3 linked regions of the Drosophila melanogaster genome follow. The protein of the gene in region 1 interacts with the protein of each later gene in a pairwise test. Each region holds a gene or a part of one and is shown on either strand. Other genes may lie near its edges.

The links.
Region 2: the proteins of CG3402 (region 1) and GlcAT-P interact in a two-hybrid assay, tested with the Drosophila melanogaster proteins (one large-scale study listed by BioGRID).
Region 3: the proteins of CG3402 (region 1) and kmr interact in a two-hybrid assay, tested with the Drosophila melanogaster proteins (one large-scale study listed by BioGRID).

Annotation. Positions count from the first base shown.
Region 1 is NT_037436.4:650,199-656,402, reverse strand, and holds CG3402 (uncharacterized protein), read left to right. Parts: upstream 1-3,521; 5' UTR 3,522-3,638; coding exon 3,639-3,692; intron 3,693-3,830; coding exon 3,831-3,959; intron 3,960-4,126; coding exon 4,127-4,315; 3' UTR 4,316-4,861; downstream 4,862-6,204. Other genes in the region: DNA polymerase Rev1, read right to left, coding at 1-110, 173-455, 510-1,867, 1,926-1,961; MED30 (mediator complex subunit 30), read left to right, coding at 2,393-3,349; Gale (UDP-galactose 4'-epimerase), read right to left, coding at 5,298-5,819, 5,880-6,170.
Region 2 is NT_037436.4:11,193,082-11,200,092, reverse strand, and holds the start of GlcAT-P (glucuronyltransferase P), read left to right. Parts: upstream 1-2,556; 5' UTR 2,557-2,693; exon of another isoform or gene 2,694-2,854; intron 2,855-3,217; 5' UTR 3,218-3,526; intron 3,527-7,011. Other genes in the region: CG7607 (uncharacterized protein), read right to left, coding at 30-111, 165-268, 326-416; Plod (procollagen lysyl hydroxylase), read left to right, coding at 701-827, 889-1,323, 1,383-1,667. UniProt on the Drosophila melanogaster protein: Involved in the biosynthesis of L2/HNK-1 carbohydrate epitope on both glycolipids and glycoproteins. Enzyme has a broad specificity.
Region 3 is NT_033777.3:13,712,891-13,719,871, forward strand, and holds the start of kmr (kramer), read left to right. Parts: upstream 1-2,316; 5' UTR 2,317-2,929; intron 2,930-4,563; exon of another isoform or gene 4,564-4,642; coding exon of another isoform or gene 4,643-5,149; exon of another isoform or gene 5,150-5,158; intron 5,159-5,221; exon of another isoform or gene 5,222-5,286; intron 5,287-6,981. Other genes in the region: Ubc87F (ubiquitin conjugating enzyme 87F), read right to left, coding at 4,643-5,149.

The sequences.
Region 1 (6,204 bases):
ACCAGACGCTTAGTAACCTCTTCGCTGAGCTGACACAGAAATTGTTCGCACTCGACCGAGTTGGTAAAGCGAATACCAAAGTTCATTTCGGCAGAAACTGTTTTGCGGATCTAAACGAAAAGTACGGTATTAGAAACAAATATGTGGGACGCAATAAAATCTGCACACCAACCTGCTCGTAAGCCAAAGGACGATCATCAATTCCTCTGCAGTTCTGGAACAAATTCTGTCCAAGTTTCTTGCCCAGCACTTTTTCCATCTTCTCCAACGTTGTATTCTGAACATCTCCACAATTATTCAGTCCCGCCTGTTTGAGCTTATGGCTTATGCTGCTGCCCACACCGGGCAGTAAATCCAAAGACATCGGCGCCATATAGGCCAAAATATCATTGCTCGAATCCAACAAGAACTGGCCATTCGGCTTGGCCTCCTTGGTGGCCATACGCGCCAGCAACCTATAATATATATAATATATATTATAATTGTAAAAGGCTTATTTGGTCTCTCACTTGTTGCCTGCCACTCCTGCTGAGCACGGACATCCCGTTTTGGAGTAAACCTCCTGCCTGAGGTGACTCACAAAAGCCATCACATCTACATTGAGTTCGTGTGCCAGATCGGTTAGCTCCACAAACATCTCGTCGCAACTCACAGCCTCGATATTTAAGGTATACTGAGCCACTGTGTCGTACAGAGTGAAAGCCACCTCCTTGTAGCCTTCGAAGTCGTACGGAATCGTCTTTAACTCCGGGCACAGCTTCAGGGCCTGGCCCACAAACATGCCATTGCGGATACCCTTTTCCCGCGCCTCGTAGCTGCAGGAGGCGATCTCCGAGAGCGACATTTTCTTGTCGAAGCCCGAGCGCACCTTTTCCGCCTTGTCTCCATCGTGGAAATGGTGCTCGAAGCGCTGGGCAAAGAGTTCCAGCTCTGCCTTTCGGTCCGCCTGCGGATGCACCGGTACATCGGTGGCTGCGTTACCTCCCTTCGAGTGGGTCACCGCAATCGGCAGCCCACGAAGCTCAGGACGGGTTCTTAGGCCCACGGACACAAAGAAGCAGTCCATGTCAATGTGCATCACATAGCGTTCCAAACAATTGTGGTGTGAATTAGCAAGGGACTTCAGTGTCTCTCTTTTGGGAAAGCCCTGGGTACCATGCTTCTGACGCAACCGGCAGACATACTGCTTGAAACCCGCGCCTAGAGTGGCGATGTGATGCAGTCGTGAGTTCTTATAGAATTCACTTAAGAAATTTGGATCCGCGGCTGTGCGAGCGGTGGTGGAGTTATTCGAGGTGGTGGATAAGTTTGTGATCTTGCTCTCTGATGCACTGGCCTCCTTTTCCGGCGAAGTGGCCACAGCCTGCTGCAAATTCTTGAGAATGCCACCCAACTCCATTTGCGTTTCATCTTTTGTAGAGTCTACTTCCACTTCCGCTTTATCTTTCGGCGGCTCCACATCCGATTTGCTCTCATTTGCGCCGTTGTCTTTGGGTTTCCCAAAGATGAGCATGGGCTGCGATGTCTTCTGGTTCGTGTACAGCAGATAGGGTTTGTAGTCTACTATCTTCTTTTTCTCCAGACAATCCACCACCCACTTGGCGCTGATGAACTTGCTGAGATTCATGTTCCTGACCTTCACATCGGGCAGAACGGAGGCTATTATGTACGTCGTGTGGCTCCTTTCGTAGTGGTGAAAGGTCCCGCCGTGCACCATCATAATACGCTTCAGTTCATCCGCCGAAGGGTCAGTCCGGCCGTTCACAAATATAGAAATTCCTTGGAAGAGGTCCGACTTGCGAAATGGATCGCTGGCGGCAGCGAACTGCTCCTCAAGTTTAGATTTCTTGGCTTCGAAGTAGCCGCCCTGAAAAGAGCAGGTTTGGTTTATGTACAATGTTTTTAGCATTTTATCTACATCTTACCCATTCACTAAAACCATTATCCTCATCGCGGGTCATTTTTAATCGTTTAAAAGCATGAAAAAGCCAAAATTGAATTCCACCAATACCGCTCAGCTGACACACCTATGTTCATTATTTTTGCGCGCATGTGGCAACTCTCTTTTCGCATGGACGCATTCCTAACGAGTTTTGCAGGGGGCTATTATTACCATTTTGGATTTGACTAAGAATTTAAATTTTAGTAATCACCAAATAAAAACTTAGTAAAAACACTCAAATTTATCTAGTGAAGATAATCTAGATCTAGATCTAGATCTATCATTTAGGATTGGTAATTTAAAACCCGCGACTTCACAGCTGTTTGCGAGCATACAGTTTCAGCGTTATCTAACACTATCCGTTTTGTTTTATGTTATCGACAACAGTGTCATTTGCCAAAGTTTATCGTTCTGCGTGATATTTTGTTTATTTTATAAGAACGTTGCAAAATGTGGAAATACGGTCAAAACCAGGGTAATCAGGGACCATCGAGCGGCGGCGGAGGAGGCGGGGGCCCCAACATGATGCCGATGGGTGGATTTGGCATGCAGCACGGCAATATGCAGCAAATGCACATGTCGCCTCAACATCAACAGCAGCAACAACAAATGGGCATGATGGGCGGCCCGGGTAGCATGCAGATGAATCCCCAAGGACCTGGAGGTCCTGGCGGCCTGATGCCCGGCATGTCTCCGCAGCACCAGATGCAGCAACAGCAGCAGCAGCAGATGATGCAGCAGCAAATGATGGTGCCCCAACAAGGAGTGGGCGTCGGAGTGGGAATGGGCGGTGGTGTGGGAATGGGCGGAGGGGGAGTGGTTCCACAGCAGCAGCAACAGCAGCCCCAACAAAACATGCCCCAGCAGAACATTCCCCAACAGCAACAGCAACTCAATCCGGTCGCAGGAATTCCACCCGGTGGAGCCGGGGGCAGCAACAATATGCTGGCTATCTCGCAGCAAAATCCTCACAAGGAGATTAACATTGTGCAGCTGTCCCGTCTCGGTCAGGAAACGGTGCAGGATATCGCCTCGCGCTTCCAGGAGGTCTTCGCCTCCCTCAAGGGCATCCAGCCCACCTCGCACAGGGAAAACAGCTCCGAGAAGAAGGTGCAGGAGTACTTCCGCACCATCCGGCTGCTCTTCAAGAGGGTGCGCATCATCTACGAGAAGTGCAACGACGCCGGAATGGATTACATGAGCGCCGAGAGTCTGATTCCCTACCGCGATGAGCCGGAACCGAGAATCGAGCCCTCGCTGTGCGATGAGTACCGGAAAGTCCTGCAGGAGAACCATGAACTCATAGAGACCGTCAAGCTGAAGAACAGGCAGCTACGCGAGATCATCGATCGGACACGCATCATCATCTGGGAGATCAACACCATGCTGGCCATGCGGCGCTCATAGGCATAGGGACTCTAGATGTATAATATAGTATAAATAAAACTAAGAAACATTGCCAAACAGCAATCGTAAAGACCTTCATGTTTTTATTTTATATGAAAAGTATATATTTAAAGTCAGCGGCAGTCGCTGGCAACAATCGCATTATTGCTGCAACCTATCGATTTTTCGCCATCGATAAATGATTGCGAGGAAGAAGCAGAGTTTGTTGTGGGCGACAATCTTAAGACGAATTTACCAGCGGAATCTTAGCTAATCTAGCAAATTAAAGTTAGTCAAAGCATCGGTAGACATGGCGAAAATGGCATTCCAGCACCAGGCCGGCACGGCGATGGAGTGCTTGAGCGTAAGTTGCGAACGAACTAAACCTGGCTCACACGCACAGTCGCCTGTGTGTGTATAGGTGAAATTGGGTCGCTGGAGCAAAAAAGACAAGCCACTTTCAAATTCGAGTGATTGATGAAATGTGACTCACAATTCCCAGATTCCCATCACGCTGCACAAGGAGAAGGACTACGACCAGGAGGGGCGCGAGATCCTCAAGTGCGGCTTCAAGATCGGCGGCGGAATCGACCAGGACTACAAGAAAAGCCCTCAGGGATACACGGATTATGTGAGAAACTTGGGAAACACTAGAACCTAATTCCGGGCATAAAAGAGAGCTTCAATCTTAAAGCTAATAATTATAGCTCTCCTTGAAAGTCGGGGAATTTAGTTTTAGTTCGGTATCTTAAGAGCAGTTTCAATGTTACAATGTTACGTTTTCCCCTTTGAAAATAGGGCATCTATGTGACCGAGGTGCACGAGGGCAGTCCCGCCGCCCGAGCAGGTCTGCGGATCCACGACAAGATCCTGCAGTGCAACGGCTACGACTTCACCATGGTCACCCACAAAAAGGCCGTGAGCTACATCCGGAAAAACCCGATACTCAACATGCTGGTGGCCCGCAAGGGCGTGACCTCCACATAAGTGGTGCTCGGAGCAGGGTCTCCACAGACTACAGCAGTATTTAAGCGGCATTTAAACTATCCCCTCCACCGCCCCTCTGGGCTACGGATCTCTTTGCCTCCTGCAACCTATGCGAATACTTAGAACTACCATATTATACATATTAATTCATTACGTATGCATATCGCACACACATGTAGCCAGACGTAAATGTAGCACCTAGTAATGCTTCTTGTTGAATTCGATTTCTTTGCCTCTCCATCACTTGTTGAACGAATCGCCAAGCTCCTAAGTGTAAAACAGATTGCCAAATACCGATACAAACAAACACTCCCAGAAACAACAGGCTCGAATATAAACAATTTTGTACTTTTATACGTGCAGACCATTCCAAAACCAAACAGAAGCAGCAGCCGAACGCAGAGTTGTTGAAAGAAACATACATTCATAGTACATACTTGTGATAAATGACTTTAACTGTGCAGATATGTGCGAAGAAGGCGCATCACTTAAGTTTAAAATTGAGTTTTTAATGTTATATTGCATTTGAATAAATGTTTGCTAAATAAATGTGCGAGTTAGACGTCTTCTTGTAACTTTGGTCAGCTTAATGTGATTATGCCATTTTTGATTAAGATCTGACAAATGGTTGATGCAGTTGTGTGTTTATTTTACCTAATGCCAAGTGTAATCTCCCAGTGCCACCTTGTCGGTGACCTTAATTACGTGATTGCGCCAATTGGCACGCGTCAATGATGCCAGCGGTCACCAAACGCGTAAATGACGGTCACAAAATTACATGACAACAGCGAAAAGCCTTTTTAATTACAAAGTACTTTGGATTACATACGCACACTTGCACACATCGAAGTGAGCGAATACTACACGAAATTTGGAAAGAAATATACACAACTAGAGGCAAATAGAAATTGCTACCTGAGCCATTATCAGGCGTAGTAACTCAGGAACTTGCGGAGCGGCAGGAACGTGGCGATATACAGCTCTACTTGTTGGCATACCCGTTTGGGTTCTGGCTCTGCCAGCGCCACGTGTCCTCGCACATCTTGTCGATGCCACGCTCGGCCTTCCAGCCCAGCTTCTTATCCGCCAACGTGGCGTCCGCATAGCAAGTGGCCACATCTCCGGACCGTCGGTCCACCAGAGTGTAGTTGACCTTCTTGCCGGAGGCCTTCTCAAACGCCTTCACCATGTCCAGCACCGAGTAGCCCACGCCGGTGCCCAAATTGTAGGCGAAAAAGCCCGTCTCCGCGATGTTGCGCAGCTTGTCCAACGCCTTTACGTGTCCCTCGGCCAGGTCCACGATGTGGATGTAATCGCGCACGCCGGTGCCGTCGTGCGTGGGAAAGTCGCTGCCGTAGACACTCAGGCTGGGACGTCGACCCACGGCCACCTGTGCGATGTAGGGCATCAGGTTGTTGGGCTCGCCGTTCGGATCCTCGCCAATCCGACCACTGATGTGGGCACCCACCGGGTTGAAGTACCGCAGCGAAACCACTGCCCAACGCTGAAAGAGCGAATTCTTTAGTACAGAACTTATGGACATCAAGAAATGACATCCTCCTACCTTGTCAGACTTGCACAGATCCTTGAGAATCTCCTCGGTGAAATATTTAGTCTTGCCGTAGGGCGATGTACAGTTGCCCGTGGGATGCTCCTCGGTCACGGGCAGGAACTTTGGCTCACCGTATACGGTGGCGCTGGAGCTGTACACGAACTTGAAGACATTGTTGTCGGCCATCGCCTCCAGCAGGACATTGGTGCCGGTCATGTTGTTGTGGTAGTACTGCAAAGGTATGCGGCAGGACTCACCCACGGCCTTCAGGGCGGCAAAGTGGGCCACCATGTCGATTTTGTGCTGAAAGGGATGTAAATATATGTACCTATTAGTT
Region 2 (7,011 bases), about 11 Mb from region 1:
CTTGGTAACTTCATCTAACTAACTCTCACCTTGAGCCATGCAAAAGAAAGTGATCTTGCGTCCCAGGGTGTAGTCCAATTCAAAATGCGAAGACTTTATGATCTTGGCGCCCTGAAAAATGTTACCACATGTATTAATGTTGAAAACAATGTTGACCCACTCACATTTTCATGATCATAATAGTTGACTGCATCCTGTGATCGGTGTTGGATGACCACGGGTTTTTTGCCCGTGTAGTTGCGACGCTCCGTCTTTCCCGCAGTGCTTCCTGTGACAAAATCAGATATTTAATTTATGCTTAATTAATATAGTTTAGATCGCTCACTTTGGGCGGCTATGTAGATGAGATCGCCGAAAATCAAAAAGCATAGACAGAGGAGCACGATCCGATGAAGATTACAGATGCCACGAGGCATTATTGTCGAGCCGAGATTCCGATTCCGATCGCCTGCGGTGAATGTTGTTTTCAAACTGCACTGTCGACATCCGAACAGAACGCCATCCACATCGCTCTAATGTGAGCGTTTTTATTGAATTAAGTGAATTTAGTTGGGGGCTTTCGACGGTGCGACGTCACTTTCCATTTTCGCAACATTGTTGCAAATCCGCTGGACATCGAGATCATTCCGCTCTCGACTTTATCGTTCGCCCTGTTTTGACTAACTCATTCGTCACTTGCGTTTCGTTCGCCCATTTCCAGTGGAATGTTCAATGTGCCCCATGTAACGAGCATATATCTGGTGAAGAAAACCGCCTTCGATGCCATCTCCTTCAAGCACAAGGAATTCGATCCCGACATGGCCATGTGCGAGTCACTCCGAAATGCGGTAAGTGTTTGACAGAACATCGTGTTCAATTGGTTACTAATGTGTCCACTCTTCTGTCCAGGGTATCTTCATGTACGCCAGCAATCTGCGCATATTCGGTCACTTGGTCAACGCCGATGACTTCAACACTACGGTGACACGTCCGGACTTTTATACGTTGTTTAGCAACGAGATCGACTGGACGGAGAAGTACATACATCCGAACTACTCACTGCAGCTGAACGAGAGCAACAAGATACAGCAGCCGTGCCCGGATGTCTATTGGTTCCAGATCGTGTCGGACGCGTTCTGCGACGATTTGGTGGCCATCATGGAGGCGCACAACGGTTGGTCGGACGGCAGCAACAACGACAATCGGCTGGAGGGCGGATATGAGGCGGTGCCCACCAGGGATATCCACATGAAGCAGGTGGGCCTGGAGCGGCTCTATCTTAAATTTCTTCAAATGTTCGTTCGTCCGCTGCAGGAGCGCGCCTTTACGGGTTACTTCCACAATGTGAGTCAAAGAATTATCATTTTGAAGATTTTGTTTTAATATTCTCACTAATTTTGTAGCCTCCACGCGCGCTGATGAACTTCATGGTGCGTTATCGGCCGGATGAACAGCCTTCTCTGCGACCCCACCACGACTCCTCCACGTACACCATCAACATTGCGATGAACCGGGCGGGTATTGACTATCAGGGCGGTGGCTGTCGTTTCATTCGTTACAACTGCTCCGTGACCGATACGAAGAAGGGATGGATGCTGATGCACCCGGGTCGACTGACTCACTACCACGAGGGATTGCTAGTGACCAATGGCACGCGTTACATCATGATTTCCTTCATCGATCCGTAGGGTAGCTAATTTAAGTCGTACTCTTTATATCAAACTGCCATATCGGCCACTCCAAAGAACTGCATACTAAGCCCAATGAACAATTTATGTTGATGGAATTGCGGCATCGGCCTTCTATTTCTGATGATTTTACATACTACTTTGAGATCGATAGCTTTAGGATACTCTGATGAATCTGTTGCAGCCTTAAGTTAATTATAAGCTTTTTTACCAAGTGCAAAGTGTTCAATTTTTGAATAAATTAATTCAATTATTAAATGAAATACATTTGGTTTTGTTTTTGTCTGGAGAAATTCTTATCTTTTATAATTTCAAATCAAATATTTAATTTACGTGGTTCAATTTAATTCGCTTTCGAAAGAATATTGTTCTCTAACGTGAAATGCTGAACCAACACAGCTGTTTTGCGAAAGCGGGATAGCACCTTCAACAGTGCTGCCCCCCACGCAACTAACAGCAGCGGTTGTGCAGACTTCTGCTGTTAGCAAACATTTACAGCAGACACTTGACAGAATGCACACCAAAATTTCTCTAGTGAGTTTTAAAATAAATAAATCTATATGAACTTTAAAGTTTTTTAATCAAAGATAAATATATTTCTAAAAAAAAGCAGGATGTGCATACATAACATTTTATTTTGACTAAATAAAGATTTACACGCTGCCATAATTTAAAATTCAACAAAAAACATATTCTATTTTAATGTATATTTTTTTATATTTTAACATATGAGAGGCTAACAGAGTAGCTTGATTACAGAACCCGTAAGAATGTTAGGAAGTCGAACCACTGCGTACTGTTGTTGCATCGAGCACAAGGCTTCGAACTTGCGCGAGTTCGAACGACTCCAAAAGAAAAGTGTATTTAAGCGCTTGGCGAAGCACGCTCTATGTTATTGCTCGATTTTCGTCCGCGTAGCTGGTTGGTTCGTCACAATTTTTTATAAATTAGGAAGAACTAAATAAACTAAGCGGACATTGGCTTAAAGGCCAGCAAACAATATACGGAAATAAACAAGTTTGTTGGGTAAATGCAACTGAAATTGACGAATACTTTCGAGAAATTTAGAAGACTCCAGTGTTTGCAGACTTCGTGTGCGGGTGGTGTGCGGTACATTTACAGTTAGTTGCGCAAAGTGCGTGTTTAAAAATAACAAAAATCGACGCTGGATATAAAAACCGAAATAAGTAGGGAGAGCAATAAATGAGTGGCGAAGAGAAATGCAAATTTATCGAGTCGGTCAATTTAAAAAAGCCGCATCCTGGAAAATTGTGTGCGTGCGTTCGTGTGTGTGTGTGTCTGTGAAATAAACAAAAAAGGCGAAAGTTTACTCGCTCTCTCTCTCTTTCTTACTCTCTGTTGCTCGCTGTGGCGCTCTCTCTTTCTGTCGCAGGACTTGCTTCGATTTTTCTTCCGCCTGCTTTTCCTGTTTCATTTCCCTACATTTTTTTATTACTCTATTTACACTTGGCGAGTCCTGCCTTATGTGTGCACACATGTGTATGTGTGTGCTTTCTCACACCTGATGTTTTTGTTGTTCCTGCTTTCAGCCGCTCCTGTTGGCCAAGTTTTTTTTTGTTGTTGCTTTGGCAACCGTTGGAACAACAACAGCAGCAACAACAACATAAACAACAGGGACACATAAGGGTACTTCCATTTCTGAAAACATTTGCTCTTTTGAAACAAAAAATAAAAAGAAAGAAAAACCCAGCCAGACAGTCTGGAAAATCCATAGAAATACAAACACAATTTTAAGTCGGCACTAAAAACCGAAAGTGGCTGTATCCCCGATTTTGATGAGCAGCCAACGGAGATTTCCGGTATCCAGCCAAATGGCGAGGTGGAGTTCCACGTTCCAGGTGAGTGCGATATAGTGCCACATGCCCACCCCACCCCTTTATAATTTCACCGCACACGGTGAGAAATACCATTTTCTCCACTTTGCAAACATAATCGTATCGAACGCAATTACCAAAAATCATTTGACTTGAAACAGGAAACACTAGCTGGAAAAAATTTTATTTATTATCAGCATTTCAAGCATATTCACTTTCATGATTGATTGCACTTAAACCGTTGCCATTGAACGAGGTCAAAAAATAGTATCTTAAAGGAAAGGTAAAATTTAAAGATACGACAATAACATTTTCAGTTCCAATTAAACTGTTTTCAATGATGAAAAAGTAGTTTGAAAGCATACTAATTTTTAAAAACAAAAAGTGCTTGCAACTTTAAGAAAACGTTTCATGATTGATTGCACTTAAATTTTTGCCATTGAACATGGTCAACAAATAGTATCCTAATGGATAGGTAAAATTGAAAGATACGACAAAAACATTTTCAGTTCAATCGAACTGTTTTTAATCATGAAAAAGTTATTTTAAGCGTACTACTTTTTAAAATTAAAAAGTGTTTGCTACTTTAGGAAAACATTCATTGTTATTTATATTTATTAATATTTAATATTAAACAAATATTTTCATAATTTATAACTACTTATAGCAAAGGCAATAAGAAATATGAATATTGGATAATAATATTAAATTACGGTACTATAATATTAACTTAACTTAACTAAAATATTAAGTTACGGTAGTTAATATAATTCTTTACTGCTCTTCAGTAACTTCGAAGCTGGCTTCACTAAATGTGTCTTCTCACACAATATATTAATTATATATTTGCATATTACCTGAAAACCAAGCCGAGTCTTAGCCTTGAGTTGTCAAAACTGCTCACTATCAATATATTATATGCGGTATACATACGTATTTATTTATTTATTTTTTTTCCGTGGAGTTAAGTTCGCATGTGTGTGCCGATTGCTTGATATTTTCTATTAGCGGGTGCTGGATTTTCCTTGCTCGTCGCCGTGAGCAGCTGCTAATGGGTTGTGAAAAAAGTGGGCGAACGAAGCGGGCTGGAAGGCTGTGGAAAAGTTAGGGAGGTGTGTGTGTGTTTGGGGGAGGGGGGGGGGGGGTGTGGCCAAGCATGTGTGAAACTTCCTCACAGTGGAAAAACATATGGTGGCAAGTTCAGTGCTTAAGGTTCGAGAACGCAAGTTTCCACACTTGATTATATGGCCCATAAATTTGTAGTACATTTAAATAAATGCCATATCTTTGCAGCTTACGTGTTTTGGTATATTATTTTATTACTATTAGGTGAACACAATTAAATTTTAGTTACAAAGTTCTGTTGTTAAGATGTATAATGCTTCTTAAAGATAAAAACCAGTTACATATATACCAGATTAAGCTAGAAGTTTTAGGTTAGGCAAATAAAAATCTAAAGTGTAACACAATTTAAAACTATTATTCCAGTGGATAGTTTTGCATATGTTCCTGATTTTTTGTGTGAAGTTCTTTTTTATTTGTTTGTAGATTTTCGAGATGTTTCCTGCAGGCGAATGCCTCGCAAAAATTTACCAACTGGACCACAAGAAACATGTGGTAATGATAAAGAATTCTTAAGCAGCTTTCTATTTTTGGAATAAACATGTTTAGCGTGTTTGTTAGTTGAACTAGTTAAAGTTTAAACATCAGATTTCCATCAGCTTGGTGACCCAGAACAAGAGTCCGTCGCTTGAAATGTCATTGGCTTCCTATGAAGAGGACTTCTTCAAGGGCTTGGAAGCCCTATATCAAGTCTACATCCCGGCAATCATCATAAAAGAAACCAGCTGAGCTGGCCCGGGGCAGGTGGATGGATAATGGTGCACCTCTCTCTGGAAGGCACATATGCAAATGTTGGCCCAGTGCCCCCCACTTGGAGCTTCACCTCCGTTAAACCCCTCCTCCGCTCCACGACCATGTGCGTGCGTGCGAAATCTGCGAGCAGAGGCAAAATGATTAACAAAGGCTCCCCGAGGTGCGGCAATATGTTGGGGCGGCACCAGCAGTGGGTGGCTATTTGTACTAGACGTGCACTGGCAGAAATTACGTGTGAGAAGATCTTGATCTTTTACGGACATAACTTATTGGGCAAAACTAATTCCGGGTTTCAAATTCCCTTTGCTTCTTAAAAACTATGAAAAGGAATGAAATAATTTATATGTACGTAATAAGTAGCTAACTTAGCCTACATTGATAGTTGTTAGTTAAGTTAACTAGCTACCTTTTGGTAGGTTTGTCCGTTAAGTTCGAAATCTCGTGCAATTTCTTTCCGTGACCATGGGCTTTTGCCGGCGTACGCGCATGAGGAATTACATCCATCGTCACTGACACGGACACCGACCGAGACGCGGACATTGGGACAGATCCTGGACAGAGGAGCGCCCCTCAGGACAGGCGCAGTGCGGTTGGAACAACCAGGGCCCAGCCCAGTGCTCAGCCTGCCCGACGTTCCTAGTTTCCCTCCCCTCCACTCATCATCTTTCTCGGACGCCTATGTCCTGGTTAATGACATTTGAGTGAGCGAGAAGAAGGTGGGCGGTAGGAGGGGGCAAAGGACACCCGGCGGCGACGCAGGCCGAGCGAGTAATTTGTGTCACGTTTTAATTTTTGACGCCGCAAAGGACGTTCAAGTGTCTCCCCTCGTGATTATGACAATTAGGATTGCGTTGAAATCCTTCTTGCTTATTTTGCTACGCGTATTTAAAAAGGTTTATTGTGTAAGCCTCGCCTGGGGAGCTTTTGTCCAACTTATGCTTGTGGCCCATTAAAGTAAATTTCGCGGCGAGTTTGCGCTGCTCGGAATTAAAATTAATCACTTTTAAAGCTAAATTTGTAAATACAAATGTGTTGTGAGATTACAAAGCTTAAACTCTAATGTGCTAAAATATAATTAAATGGCAGTAATTTAATTAAATATTCTATGCAGCAACAATTAATAACAATTAACCGAATTTAATGATGACTAGATGGCGTAGATTATGTTATAAAACCCGTGAACGATGGAATGTCTTTAATACGGATTTTTATTGTTTACGTTTTGCCGGTATAACAATTTTAAATTTCATTTATATGAAACAAAATGCTTTGATATAAAATTAATAGTGCACCGTATGCGCGGCTTTTTATCGCTCGCCATTCGAGCGAATAACTTTTTATGCTGTGAACCATTTTTGATAAACATTTTAAAAATATGCCATCGCAGTAATTGGATAGATTTGCATATCAATCAATTTGTGGCTTAATTGCCATTTTATTATTCATTTTCCGCCGCGAACGTCGAGTGGGTTGGCTCAAAGAGCTGCAAATTCGGCTGAAATGCGTCAGTGGAAAGTCCGCACTCATTAGCCGTGATTTTCTTGCTACCCTGCTCTTGACCGAAACGCATTTCACAAGGCAAATCCTTCTCTCAGCGAACTGTCAAATGTCCTGCACACTTCGTTGGCTCCTGA
Region 3 (6,981 bases), on another chromosome or scaffold:
GGGTTTGCTTTGGCCATGAATATGTAAGCTGCAGCTGGTGCTCAAAGGACAGGCAGGTCCTGGTCGCAAAATGTGTAATGACTGTCGGGGAGATGGAGGTCTCGGGTGCGGGTGTGAACTTAAAGCGGATGACCAGCTCGCCGGCAGAGAAATAAAGTTGCCTTTCAAAATAAATTCGTTTTGAGTTTTATGCAAATTGTATACAACCAACAACAGCAACAACAACAACAAACAAAGGCCAGACGAAATGCATGGCATAAACTTTGCCAACTTGGCTGGCTGCAATTGTAGTTTGTGATGTGGATGTGGATCTGGATGTTGCTCTTCCTGGTGGTTGGGGTTGATGTTGGGGCGGCTTTGATGGCATCAAAGTGAGCTTGTCGTTGTGCAGACAAATGTTACGTACTCTCGTCACACTCTTACGTATGCAAATGTCCCTTGCCATTGCCGGCGCAATGCTGCAGTGCGTCCTCCACAATTGACAATTGTTGAAAATGCAAATGGAAATGGAAATGCCAAGACATGTGCCCAACAGCCACACCAGCAATTCATACATATGCCATGGATAATGGATACTGGGCGCACTGGAGGTGTGTTGGGGGTGGCATGCGGCGCATTGAGGTAAAGACAAATGCAAAGGCGTTGTCTCTACTATCATCATCCGGCGACGACATCTCCTCAGATAAGATAAACGATGGCAAAGTCAACAGCAACAACTGGTTGGCTACGAAATGCACTGCAAGAAAATGCAATGAAGTATGCTAAATACACTTGGCATGAATTTAATCTATTGCTATTGTTGAAAAGTGTGAAATGAATATTCTTAACCAGTGTCTTACATAACATTTCTGTATTTTGTTGTATTATAAAACGAAATACAAATAGTTTAATCAAATTTAATTATATAATATTATTTTATTATTACTTTTTGATATGAGTACTTGACATTTTTCTGAGTGCATGTGGGAGAGGTCAGTGTAAATAAGTAAATACGACATTCGTAGCCCAGAGCAGGCCGAAATAAATTCTCAAGTGCAAATGAGGTAAATGACAAGAGGTACGAAACCATCATAACCTCTGACCTGCCACCGATCCCCCCTCCACCAACGAGCGACCCATAAACGCCCACTTTGCCGAGCATTTGACAGTCGAGAGCAAACATGTCCAAGATGAACATCCATTTTGCATTTGGGAAATGAAAAGCGGGAAAGCTACAACTGACGTACATACTAGCATACTAGCAGACAGCTTGTCTATGCAGCAGGCCATCGCCATCCAATCCATCTGGGCGTGCAAATGTATCTGTATCTGCTATCCAGTATCTGGCGCTCGTATCTATTCCGCCTGTCGTCTCGTCCGCCTTTTGCAGCTTCATCAAATATTTAGCGCCAGGCAGGCGGCTTTATCTCGAGGGAACTGGAAGGAGGGACAAATAAGCGCATTCATTGTGTTCGTTCAGTGTAAATACGAAACGGATGTAGCACTGCTTGGAAAATAACAACTTTGTAAACTTAAGAGCCTAACTCGACTAGTTTGGTACTGTAGAAATATGAAAAAAAGGAAAAACTATTGTACACAGCTATTTGTAAATATCCTCGATGGATAAATTTATATAAAAAAGTTAAGACTTAAGACATACTGTGTACCTTTATTCAAACTAAAACATTTATACCATATATAATAGATACCAAGAATATTCCAGAGATTTCTCTTGATATAGAATTTCTGAATTTCTGAATGAATGGCGTTGTTTTATGTGCAGCTTCTTTTTGGTAATTTCATCGATTTACCAATTTATCACTTTCCTGCGGGCAATCACTTGTTTTGTTAGTTTTCCTTGAGTACTTTTGTCCACTGCACTTAATAGCATCGTTTTAAAATGTGAAAAGGGAAAAGTTTGCGAGCTGTCCAATCACTAATGAATTAAACAAACATTGAGGGCATCGACGTTATTTCTCGTTGAAACGCAAATTTAATAAACCACCCACACCTATGAAAAAACCACCGAAACGCAATATACCCCTGCAGCAGATGCTATCTGGAGAGCAGTCCGAACTACCCTAGTCAAAATGGAAAATTGGGAGTGTGGGGCAGTGCCAACGACCAGCCAAAAAGCCGGCAACAACAAACGCCCGCGCTGTACCACGCCGGCAACATGTTGCGTGTTGCTGCCGTGCGAGCAACATTGCAATGTTTGCACTCGCGTGTGTCGGTGTGTGTGCGTGTTGTTTATCTCGCTGCCACTTGAAATGTTGCCAAGAAGCCGGCCAGCAACATTAGCAGCATTTCGAAAACTTGTTTTCAACGTAGTTGGGTTTAGTTTACTTTGAGACGGCGACGCAGGTGGACGTGTCCGAGTGCGAGCGAAAGAGAGCGATAAACGCGAGCGGACCGCGTTATAAAATATTACAAAAACAACAACAACAACAACGCCAACAAGAGCTCAGTTCATTTCAGTGTTTGTCTTTAGTTTTATGGCGCACGCTGCGCGTCAGGTAGTTTTTCAGTTGTATATATGTACGTATGTACATATAATGTTTTTTTGTGATTCGTCTCGCGGCAATGTTTTATGGCTGACAAAACCATCGAGCGTGTAAAGGTTTTGCACTAACCGTACGACGAAAAAGAGGAAAAAAAAAAGAAGTGATGTACATTCTACGAGTAGATGTAAAGTGCTAGTGTTTACCCTTTTTTGCCGGGATTACTCATCATCGCATCGGCGCATCATCGACACCATCATTATCATTCGTTTACTAGCGGGCAACTTTACGAAATCCCAAAAAACCAGTATCGCTGTGCCCAAGTATCTGCAAGATACGTGAGGCAGTCCAGACCACATATTGGAATTTACTTAACACGTATGCAACACGCACCCATACCAGTTAACATCGAGCGGGACCCATTGGATTTTGGAACCGAAAACTACAGGGTAGGTAAAATCGCTTGTAAATCGGGGTTTCTTCTCGAGAAAAACAAGAGACGCGAAGCAAACACTCACACACTTGACCAGCTGCGTTTTTCCACCCTCACCATAAAACCTAATGATTCCGAACTACCTGTTTTTGGATTGACCCTGGTTTTCCCATTAGCCGCCAGAGGAGATTTCACTGCACCAGCGCATACCATATAGTCCATATATCGGAAAGCTGTGCGGCTATTTATAAATCTAGATACCCTGCGTTTTGGGGCCCAGGCTCAAATCCGGTTTTCCATACCCATATATCCCCCAGCCCAGCCCAGCCATCAATTCAATTTCTACTGGCTGAGTGAGTTTTTAACTCACAGAAGAATCTCCATCTCCAGGTCGAGCATCTTCTTCGCTGAAGATTTCTGAAGAGAGCTGGTTTCTTCGGGCCGTTTTCTTTTCCCTCGCTTTGTTTTCTTTCGTTTCGTTTTCGTTTTTTACTATTTGCCCGATCGTCGTGGTGATCATGATGCTGTGGCTTATTGCCGCCAAGATTTTTTCCACTTTTTTTTTTTTATGATTTTGCTTTTTGCCGATTGAAGGTGCATGGCCTTATTTACCCAGTTTCCAAATCGCTCACCGATTTCTGCTTATTCTGTTTTGGGCTTTGTTTTGAGGTATTTGCTGAATCACACGGGGATCATTTGAATCTTTTAGCCAGACAGTCACTGTGTGGAATTGCGATTGGGATTTTATTTGAGAGTCACACCCAGTCCGTGGCGAATGAGCTAGTATCCCGCTCCGGAATTGACTCACGGCCAAACAATGCGACATGCGGCGAAGTGCTGTGGGGCCACGCTGGCTTGGGCAAAAGAGAAAAAATCAAAAATGCAAAACTTGTTGCTAATAAACAACAATTACAGCAAAAGCAAAAACAAGTTCAGCTAACCACAAAAATGCTGGCAGCTAAACTCTAGACTCGTTGCCCAGGAGCTCCGCCGCACTCCACTACACTCCACTCACCAAAACAAGTCGGTGTATGGAGCCATTTTCTGATGTTGCTGGCTCACACTACTGGCCATTCGCCACCAGCAACAACCAACAGCAACACCAACAACCAACAGCAGCAACACCAAGAGCAACAGCAACATCGGCAATTTGTTGTTGCTGCACTGGAAAAAAGGTGCTCAAGGAACGGACATAATGTTAACATTTTAAAAGCCAATTCACTTCTAAATCAGACCACATTATGGTCCTTTTATTGACCATAAAGTGTAGCCAAATGAAGAGAAATGCTGAGCCCCTTCTCTGGAATTTGGCTCAGTGCATGTGTAAATTTTTGTCGCCATGTGAAGACCATAAAAAGCGGCCAAGTGGCCAGCTGCCTCAGCTTTCCTCTGGAAGCCACAGAGCAACCACAGAGAACGTCCATAACTGTGTCAGTGTGCAACTAGAAGAGGTCTAAGCCTATTAAGCACACTGGCTTAAGATCGGCCTATGCCAGGAGGTAATACCCGTAGCTCCAAAGCGATTAAGTGTAATTAATGCCGACAGGTGTCACTGAATTGGCGCAAGCTCAAAGAGATTGAAATGCCCTAATTGGAGGCTCCAATTAGGAGATATTCTCCCCACTTTCGACACTTCAAAGTGCGAGATTTCCACTAGTTGCTCTCTTTATTCACGTGATTAGCATGTGTGCCGTTCCTGATCATCATGTCACTGCCCAGTCTATCCGGTCTATTCCACCTCCTCCTGACTACGGCGGACGCACCTGGTGACCTTGCGCTTGAATTCCGCATAATTCTCCCGGTACTCCTTGGCCGCATCCACATTGGCGGCCGACTCGTCATTGGGATCGGTGAGCATGGAGATAACGGAAAGAAGGATCGTCTCCACGGTGTGGACCGGTAGCCAGCGCTCCTCGGCCTTCTCGTAGCCCCACTTATCGTCACCAGGTTCGTGGAGGATCGAGATGCAAACGTCGCCGGCCTTGTCAATATTGGGATGCCAGATTTCGGTGATGAACTTCATCTTGGGCGGGCGCAGTGGGTACTCTTTGGGGAAGATCAGGTGAGCCTTGAAGAAGCCGCCCTCGTATAGCGTATCTGGGGGACCGATGATCACCACCTCCCATTTGAAGATGTCGGAGTCGCTGACCAGACCGGCGGAGAAGCCCTCGACGGGATGGCGTTGTAATTCGGAGAGCTGGCGATTGAGCAGTAGCGATGCTTGCAGTTCGGACATGTCACTGGACTTGGGGGGGATAAGCACCATCAGTGGGATAAGCCATTTAAGTACAATCACATTTGTACTTACTGGAATTTTGTTCAATTGTTTCGAGTCACTTTCTGGTTTACTTCTACGGAGGCTGAACTACGCTCAATGCGACCTGTCAGCTTGCCGAGAGAAAACTCATGCTGCGACTACTTCGATCTATAATCACGATCATGGTTTATCATGGTATAAAAATGTAAGTTCTTAACTATACATTAACGGGATTCCATCGACATTTCTAAGATAAAAAGCCTAAGAGCCACAAAAGATCAATTCCTTTTGGAATGTCTGGCTGCAATCTCATTGCAATTGTAGCCCTTTGAATGGAGATGGAGTATAGAAACTATCTCCATAGAAATCATCTTGAAAGCGACTTGAAAGTTTCCATTATAAGCTCTTTTGGCTGTCGGTCTGGAATGGGTCCAAGGAAAGTCCGAGTCCCTCCTTTCCTTTCATTTCCCAGCACTTTCCTGCAATTACTTGGCCGTTGCTAATGCTACTGGTGCCACTCATTTTTCCTTTAATGTTTTCTTTGCCCGTGCTGGCTGAATGGAAATTATGATGGCCGCCACATTGTAGCCGCTTGGTTTTGGCCTTTCGTAATTGCGCACAAATGTTGGCCCAGAGCTTTTTTTTTCATTTTTGCTGGCCTGCAACTTCGACCACGACATGTGGCTGCCCCATCGACTGTTTTTTTTTTGTTTCGCCTTTTTGCCAATTGCATACGACTCCGGCATTTGGAAATCCGCAACTTTAGCTGACTATCTGACTAACTGGGCAACTGAAATTATGTTGCCGCAAATGTGTGAATCGTTAATGTCTCGATGCTGCCAGCAGGGGCATTTTGTGCTTGGTCTCTTGCCACTGCCGGTTTTTCAAGTTTTCCATGCAGCGCGAGTTTTCGCACAAAAATTCCTTTCCCATTTTTTCGAAGCATTATTATTATTGTTGTAATAACATTTACTTAGCATCGGTGCAAAACGCAACAATAAAATCATGTGCAGTTCCTCTAGGAAAACGCAGTCGGACTCGAAATTTGCTAAATTATCCAGCACATGCCAAACGTAAAGGGGAGGGGCGGGGGCGGAGGTTTTAAAACATGTTTGGCCAGAATACAGACACATAAGACCGACAGCTGCTGCTCGGCCGGTTCCTCCAGCACTTCCAGCTCTTTTCATATCTCCATATTCATCCGACTCTGCCCATTTAAGTGCCACATGTCGTAGACGGTCTTCTTTGCTTCTTGTAGATCCCGCAGGGAAAGCGATATGACAGCGAGAGCCGGGAAACTCACACGTGCCACAGTGCTCCTCCCAGCGAAACTCGATTTTCCATTCTCTACACTCGAGCGAAAAACGCCCACCACAATTTAGATTAGTTGGCGCTGGGAAATTGAGTGCTAAGCATCTCATCAGATAATCAAATTAAATTAATAGTGGAATAAATATCAATTCAGATTGATAGGTTTATCTGGGTCACATTGTTGCAAAAAAATTATTGTTTAAATTATGACTGATATATTTATCATATTCATCAGAATGGCAAAATTATAATTGATATGCAAATTGATACTTTATTTATTGTCTCTTTAATGAACCATAAATAGGCATTAATACATTTTTCTAAAGAGGTGACAATAAAGTTTTTATGAAGATGAATACGGTCTCAAAAGTGTAAATATAAATCGTTTATATTCCAAACAGAACACTTGTGATGTTTTATAACATTTACTTTTCCCAGTACATAGAACGTGACATAACTATATGTGGTAGTGGTCTGTAGAAGATTTCTAGGTAAAGGTT